Linked DNA regions of Callithrix jacchus. The protein of the gene in region 2 interacts with the protein of the main gene of each other region in a pairwise test. Links are inferred from orthologs where the notes say so. Each region holds a gene or a part of one and is shown on either strand. Other genes may lie near its edges.

The links. The genes of interacting proteins can lie anywhere in the genome.
Region 1: the proteins of WWP1 (region 2) and SMAD3 interact in binary tests that used the Homo sapiens proteins (3 or more experiments, as listed by UniProt). The two-hybrid records come from large-scale screens. The link is inferred for Callithrix jacchus from reciprocal best matches to the Homo sapiens genes WWP1 and SMAD3.

Annotation. Positions count from the first base shown.
Region 1 is NC_133509.1:14,107,529-14,111,695, reverse strand, and holds the start of SMAD3 (mothers against decapentaplegic homolog 3), read right to left. Parts: upstream 2,801-4,167; 5' UTR 2,239-2,800; coding exon 2,033-2,238; intron 1,659-2,032; exon of another isoform or gene 1,572-1,658; coding exon of another isoform or gene 1,567-1,571; exon of another isoform or gene 1,545-1,566; intron 611-1,544; exon of another isoform or gene 485-610; intron 1-484. UniProt on the Homo sapiens protein: Receptor-regulated SMAD (R-SMAD) that is an intracellular signal transducer and transcriptional modulator activated by TGF-beta (transforming growth factor) and activin type 1 receptor kinases.
Region 2 is NC_133517.1:40,734,736-40,738,668, forward strand, and holds the start of WWP1 (NEDD4-like E3 ubiquitin-protein ligase WWP1), read right to left. Parts: upstream 2,801-3,933; 5' UTR 2,632-2,800; intron 1-2,631. UniProt on the Homo sapiens protein: E3 ubiquitin-protein ligase which accepts ubiquitin from an E2 ubiquitin-conjugating enzyme in the form of a thioester and then directly transfers the ubiquitin to targeted substrates.

The DNA of each region.
Region 1 (4,167 bases), on a different chromosome or scaffold from region 2:
CTCCGCCAAGCCATCAACAGCCCACAGATACAGGAGCAACGGCACAGACAAAGGTCCACAGGGCCCTCCCCAAGCTAAAAGGGCTTTAGCATTCAGCAAAGAATGTATTCAGATCTTCAAAGCAGAAAGCAGCGTGGGGCAGCAGAAAGAGCACATGCGGTCAGAAGCCCGTGTCTACTACCCAGGCCTTTGCACCTCTCTCTCCTAAAGTTTTCTCAACTTTAAAAATGTGATAATCTTAGGCCTAACAACCTAACCTACTCTCCAGGGCTTGGCTGGTTGCCTGCTTGCTTTTTTTGAGAACCTCGGAAACCATGTGAAAGTGCTTTGTAAACTGTGAAACACTTTTCACAGCTGCCTGTTGTATAATTAATACCACTTTTCTTTTTCAACGCTTAAAGCGCTTGTCTTCAATGCACCACGGCAGATACGGACAAGGTAGGTTTGGGAGCCCCCTCCCCAGACAGAGAAGTAGGATACTCACCCACTCTACCCTCTCCACCCGCACCGAAGAAATACAGAAGAATTAAGAACCCGAGCTGGAACCAAACCCCGAGGTCTCTCTGACCATCACATCACACCACCTCCTCTGAAGTCAATTCTGGCTCCTGATCACACGCCCAGAGACTTCCCCAGACAGCACACCGCCTTCCCTCCCCCTTTATTGACTGGATCCACCCAGTTAAAAAAGAATTTTGTTTAAGTCCGCACTCCCACCATATGTGGCATTTATTTCCAGGGGAAGCCTGCCCTGAGTTCCTGCAGACAGATGTTGCTTTGTGCCTGCCTGACTCTCCTGGCAGACCTTGTACAACTGCCCCAAGCAGGTGGCCAAGGATGGAGTCCACCCTGGCTCCGGAACAGGGATGACAGCCCTTCATGGCTGACAGTCCCTGGTGCTCTCTAATCATTCCTCTGCAGCCTAGGACCTCCAAAACAGCCACCCCCCAACACACACACTCTCTCCCCTGGTTCGGAATCAAAGAAGACTGAGAGGTAGAGACAGGAGGCCAAGGTACCTCCACCCCCAATTCCCAATCAGGCACAGCTAAGCTAAGGAAGCCCCTGGGGGAGTGAAGTCACTGACCCCTTCTATCAGCCATCTGTGGGCTCCCGCCCGACCTAGCTAGCGCGCGACGGGAAGGATAAAGGAGATCCAGACAGATGGCAGAGCGCTTTGGGAAGGAGGGCTCTACAGGAATGCGAGGGCCGATGCGAGGCCCACTTCGGGGTGTGTTTTGTTATCTGCCCGGCTCCAGCCCGCCCCTCTCCCTCGTTCTGCACGACTCAAAATCTCTTGGACTGAAAGGAGGGCAAAAGAGTCGGGATGAGGGGTGGGAAATGAGGGAGGAGACCCTATTTTCTGCCACTTGTCTCTCCCATTTGGAAGTCAGAGCATTTGCACTGCAACCAAAGTGCGTGCGTGCGCAGGGGGCGGGAGACTGGCACAACCGAATCTAAAAATACTCGATAAAAACGCTAATCCCGAAGGCAAAGAAAGAACGAAGAAGGAATCTGTCAATCACGAGGCTCCCGCTCCTCACCCACAGCCCCAGCTGTACGGACCGCATTCCTGTAGAGGAAAGAAGTGGGGAGACCGGACTGAAGAAAAGAAACGCAGAGACACCACCACCTCCACGAGCGCGGGCCGCGGGGGCGGGAGGCGGCGGCGGAGGAGGGGCTCCGGCCCGCGGAGCCGAACAAAGCGGGCCTCAACTTCCAGCCCCAGCTCCCCGGGGTGGGGGCGGCCGAGTCCCGCAGCAACCCGCTCTCCCCTCCCAGGGGTGGAAAGGGAATGTGAGGTTTGGAAGCGAGAGTGCCGCGTGGAAGCCTCGGGCTCTGATCTTTGCAAATACAGAGATGGTTTTGTTTGGGGTCCCCCCACCCCCTTCCTGCCCCTGCTCTTGCTCCCCACTCTTACACGCACGCACACAGTCTCTCTCCCTCTTCCCATCTCCAACCCCACTGGGTCGGCCCCGCAGTGCCAGGGGGCTGCGCTGCTTGCCCCCGGGTCCCCCGGGCGGGCCCCCACCTGGGGATGGTGATGCACTTGGTGTTGACGTTCTGCGTGGTGATGGCCTTCTCCAGCTCGTCCAGCTGCCCCGTCTTCTTGAGCTTCTTGACCAGGCTCTTGACCGCCTTCTCGCACCATTTCTCCTCCTGCCCGTTCTGCTCGCCCTTCTTCCAGCCCAGCAGGCGCTTCACGATCGGGGGAGTGAAAGGCAGGATGGACGACATGGCTAGGGAGGGCGCGCGGGCGGCGAGGAGCGCCCCCGGCGGGGCTGTACTCGGCGGGAAGCCGGGGGCGCAGAGGGGAGCTCTGCCGGGGCCGGCCTCGGCCGCCCAAACTTCGCCTAACTCTCGGCGAAGTTGCCGGGGCGCCGGGCCGGGCCGCGGCGCTGCAGCCTGCGGGGTTCGGCGCGCCGCTCTGAGCCCGGAGCTGCTCCCACGGCGGGGAAAACGGCGGCCAGGCGGGTGGGCGGACGGCAGCGGCGCCGGGTCGGGAAGGCCCCGAACGCGGGGCGGAGGCGGCGGCCGCGAGACTCCGAGTGGCAGCAGAAGTTTGGGTTTCCGCACGGGGTAGCTGTTTGGGTGCCGCCTCCGGGAAGGAAAGTCCAACCCCCGGCCAAACTTCGCTCGCCTCGCTAGCTTTGATGAGCAGATCCCTCCGCCTCTGCTGCCTCGCAGCCCCGCTGCCCTCCTCCTCCCGGCTCGCCGCTCGCTCGCTCGCTGGCTGGGCCGGCCCGGGGCGTACGCCGCGCTCCCGCTCCCGCTCCCGCCCGCTCCCAGTCTGTGTTTCATGCAAATCCGCGTGCAGCCTCCTTTCCTAGCGCTGTCACCGCCCCCTCGCCGCCGGGGCTCCCCGCCTCCTCCCCCGCGCCCCGCCGCCTCCTCGCGCGGGCGTCCTATCCGCCCCCTGCTCAGGGGAGAGCTCCCGGCTGGCCCCCGGCGGGCCGGCTGGCCGGCCACTTCGCCACCTCCCCACGCCCAGCACGCCCACGTGGGCGACCCGGGCGGCAGCGGTCCTGGCTGGAGCGCACGGGATCCCGCGCAGCCCCCACCTGAAGTCGGGCGGGCGCGGGGAGGAAGTCTTGGGAAAGGCGCGGCGAGAAGGGCCGCGGGAGGGAGGGCTGAGCGCGGCCCTTGGCGTTCGCTGTCGGAGCCCACGCTCGGGCAGCTCGATTGCAGTTGCGGGCCGGAGAGGGTTGGACTCGCAGCAAGCAAGCGCTGTCCCGGCGGGAGTGCACCCTGGAGAGGACCCCAGCCCGGGAGGGGGCGCGCGGAAGGCCCGGGCCCAGGAAGTTGGGGCGCGCACTTGGCCTTGCGCTCGCTGATCCCCGTCAAGGCCCTTGGCCGGCTCCGGCGCCCGGGGGCTGTTTTTATTCTCTCGACGGTGAGATCACACCGGCTGAGAGCCTCCGGAACGTGTGCGAAGCGGGGAGGTGGGGACAAGTGGGTCCTCAGAAGTGGAGAGTTGGGATCTCAGTGACAACCTTGACAATGGCTGGAGCCTGGGGTCCCTTGAGCCTTGTGAAGCGAGTACCCGGCAGAAAATGGGCCTCAAAGACATCTGTTGAATTCTTAAAAGGAATGAATGGGGATGCTTTTAAATTTATCTTTGGAAGAAATTTACATAACCGGGTGTTGCTGGATCTCCTGATAGAGAAAGATCGGAAATTTGACACCCAATAAATGCAAGAGAGTTTTGTTTCCAAAGCAATGAACTCACAAAAAAGTGAGGCAAGACAGGAGTATTTGGGAGTTTATGTATTTAAAAAAAAATAAAAAAGCAAAACAACAACAAACCAACTGGCACATTGTGGAGCTCCGGTCTTTTCACCCCACCAAAAGATTTCAGGGGCGTCTGCCCGCAGGCCCCTTGGTGACTTTCAGGAAATACTCCGGTACCCTGGGCCTTTCTCTTGCTGCGGCCTCCCACATCAAACTAGGCAGTGTCTAAGTCCTTTGTTTGTTTTTAACAGCAGGAATCCCCCACCCCCTACCCCCGCTTTGTTTTTTTGTTTTTAAGTTATCTGCAAACCTTCAAGTGGGTGGGGAGTTACAAAGCCCTGTGAGGTGTGTCGGAATACACAAAATAAGGCCAGAAGCGGCAGGAGCCCTTGCCTTGTCCCAGAGAACCGCCTCCCACAAGCCGGTCTGCTGCTG
Region 2 (3,933 bases):
AAAATTAGCCAAGTGTGGTGGGAAGTGCCTGTGTTTGCAGCTACTCGAGAGACTGAGGCAGGAGAATCTCTTGAGCCTGGAAGGTGGGAGTTGCAATGAGCCTGGAAGGAGTGAAAGAAATTCTACCTCAGGAAAAAAAAAAAGCTCCAAGTAATTCTGAGATGGGTGCCATGGATGACCTTCAGATGGTCCACGGACTCTCCTAAAACTGTAGCCACAAAGCACAGGTACATATGGAAGTTTTCCAGGCCAGCAGATTTCTTAAGTTTCACCAAGAAGTAGTAATCCCCAAAAGGTTGTAAAGTAGCACACATATGCTGAGGGTAAAGCTTCATGATTTTGCTCAAAATGGTACCACGTTCTCCCAACCAACCTGGATCAGAATCTGTTACTTTTACTTTCTTCATTTGCCCTCTCATCAAATTTTGGCTATTCTACTTCCTTTCTTCCTTTCCATTCGCGTGCACCACACCTCAGACTACAACACTTGGGAGGTCTTTCTACCTCCACACGCTCCCTACCTCAACTCACACTACAGGCTGCTATCCCACTAATCCCTCTGAAACAAAGTGTTCAAATTGTTTTACTCCCAATTCAAAATCATCTGTGGAAGCCCCACCACCTAGTAAATCCAAGGTTCATAAGCCTGGCATTAAAAACAACCCATAAACTGTTCCAAATTTCTACTTCATGTTTTATCACCCTTTATCCAAATACAAATAACACTATGTTCCACCCAAACATAATTACTTGCCTCTCCCCAAACAGGAACTCTGTGCTCTCTTAGAGATCCCTCTCTGCTTGGATTACCTTTCCTGCCTATCCAAAGTCATAGTGATCCTTCAAAACCACGATTTCAGAAGCCAGAAGCTCTACGAACTAACCCTCTTATCCCTACCTTGCCAAGTAAGATCTGAGCTCTACTCTCTTTGAAGTTGACTTCTGAGAGGATTTTGGTACTGTTTACGAAACGTATATATTAAAAGACAAATAGGGCATTTGTTTATAGCACTATCTACCTAATTAGTGTAAAAGCAGAAACTGCTAATCAGTTCATTTTTGTATTCCCCAAAATATCCCCCACAATTATGCAGTAAATGCCTAACATCTGTACAAGGAAGTAAAGGAAATTTCAGCCACCATGGGGTAAACAGCAAAGATTACTATCTCTTTGAAGGCAGAGACTTTATCTGTGACATTCTCTATTAGGCCGACTTCCAAAAAACATAACTAGTAATTATTGCTTTTGAAAATCCTGATGTCATAGGTCTTACCAGCAGTTTTGCATTTTAAGGTAAGAACTATCTGAAAATGTTAATAAGCTAGGTCCCAAAGAACTATTTCACATACTTTACAATTTTCAATCTGAGTAGATCCAAACACTTGGCCATTATACTTTCCATTTTTAAAATATTAACTATTTATGAAAGATGATCATTTCTAGTCGCAGCTAATTTCCAACTTGATAGCTAAAAACAAGTCACACAATACAAGAACGACTTTCTTTGCTTGCATAATACACACAGATTTGGTGAGGCAGGATTTACACATACACATGAACTCTTGTAAAAAAATAAATAAATAAAACCTGCAGATAACTGTAAACCCATGTATTTCTGGCAAAATCACCAAACGGAGAAAACAAAGACAACTGTGGATATTATTTTTTTCCCCATTACTATTACCAGTAACATTTTAAAGCAGAAACACAAAATCTTGTTCCACATTAACCTACATACAAAAAAAAAACCAAAACTGTTAAACTTTTCAAATAGAAAAAGAAAGCAAAAGCCCCTGGAAAATATTTTACTGGAAGAGTGAATGTCAAAATTATAACAGATGCTACTCTTCTTTGGTAATGAAGGTTTCATATAATTACCAGAGCAAAGAAAACTCCAAATCCACAGAGCAGAGAAGACTGTGAACAAGACTGATCATTTAAAGGTCGTAAAGGTAAGGGGCAAACAAGAAAATGAAAAATTTTATAAAAGAAAACGAAGATGAAAGGTAAGTGTGTAAGTCACAGACAAGATAAGGACTGGTAAAAAGGACTGGTAAAATCTGCAAGGTCACCGGGACCTACCAGGTCACAAAAGGTAGAGGTGGGGGTTGCGCTGGGGGGGCAGGGAGGGGAGCTGCAGAGTCGGTGAAGAACCGGGAGTGACAAAAACACGTCAGAAAAAGGCATTCCAAGGCTGGAGTCCTTGGTTTGCAACATTGAAATTGGGGTGAAAACTCAGGGCACGGGCAATGAGTCCCTATATTTGTGTTCTGAGTGAGGTAGGAAAAGGTGAAGGAAACCGAAGAGAAGGCTGAGGAAGAACCGCGGCTGCAGAGTCACGGAAACATTTAGCTCCGCTCAGGATCACTGGCACAGGCCTGTGCCAGGGCCAACTCTGGGCAAGACCCGTGACCCCACCCCAGAAAACTCCCGGCTCCCGAGCTGGAGAAGGCGGAGAAGGCAGACAAGGCAGGGTGGACCGTCCTCTCACTGCCCCTTGGAGGGTCCCGCCCGCAGGCGGACGGCGCCGGGTGCCGGGCACCGCGGCCAAGGCTCGGGGCCCGCGCCCCCTCCCTCCCCGCCCGCCTCCCCAGTCCTGCGCCCCCAGCCCCGCGCCGCGCAGTCCTTACCCGGCGCGAAGCTGTCGGCTCCCGGCAGCCGGGCGGCCACGGCAGGGACACCTCCTCCTGCGGCGGGCGCCCTCACCCTTCCGCGCCCAAGATCGCCATCTCTTAGCAGGCGCGGCGGCGGCAGCCACCCAGGCGTCGGCCCCGGCAGCCCAGGCCGCCTCAGACACTCGGAACCCGCACGCCGAGCTCGCCGACACCCGACCCTCCCCCCACCCCCACCCCGGCCACGCGCCACCCCCAGGCGACCCCACACCTCCCTTCCTCGGGAGCGCGCTGCGTGGCAGCGTCGCCGGCGCCGCGCCCCGAGCGCGCGCCTCCCCGCCGGCCCCGGCACCGCGCGCGACGCCGCGACAGCCCAAAGCCTCCAACTCCGGACCCGGAATCGGCCTCCCCCGAGCATGCGCAGCGAGGGCGCTCGGAGGCTGCCTTAGAAAACTCCGCTCCTCCGGGTCCTGAGAGCGGTCGAGCAAATGGGAGGGACAGCCAATAGCAGGGAGGGGCGGGGCCTGAACCTGTGGAAGGGGCGGGGCCGCCGCTGAGATTTGGGAAGAGGCTGTTCTAAGACCGCGCTGGGCACTGAGAACACGACTTTCCGGTAGGCGGCCGATCCCAGAGCAAGACTTCTTAAGGTCCTGGGGCAAAAGTAGGCTGTTCATAACTACTCCCTGACCTAGCTGAGGGTTTGACTTAGAACCCATTGCAAGAGTAAATAACTGCATTTATCCATGGTCATACCCGAAGACTTGCAGTCCATTATTTATTAATCAAAACCTTCATTCCCCTGCCCTCACTCACATCAGCCCAGTGATAAAGCTAATACTTCCTGAGCAAGTACACGTGTTGGCACAATTAACCCATACAGCAATCCCATAAAGTAGCGTCTACTGTCTCCATTATACAGAAAAGTCAACTGGTTTAGGAAGTGCTGTTGGTTATGTGTAGCTTTTAGAAGAAAGGCTAATGTGCAAATAGAAGTCAGTGGAACCGCATTACTTAACAGATGATCCGGTTTTCTACTTCAGAGAAGCAGAAGCCTTCAGGCATGGATTTCTACAATTTTTCCCCAATCAACTCCCCCATAGATTATCCCTACGTCCACACTTGTTTTCCTTCTGTCTGGGAGGCTAGATGTCCCTGCCCACACCACTGCCTGCTCTCCACTGAGAGCAGTCCTTTGGCACTTTTTTTTTTTTTTTTGACAGAGTTTCACTCCGTCACCAGGCTGAAGTGCAGTGGAGCGATCTCCGCTCACTGCAACCTCTGCCTCCTAGGTTCAAGCAATTATTCTTCCTCAGCCTCCCA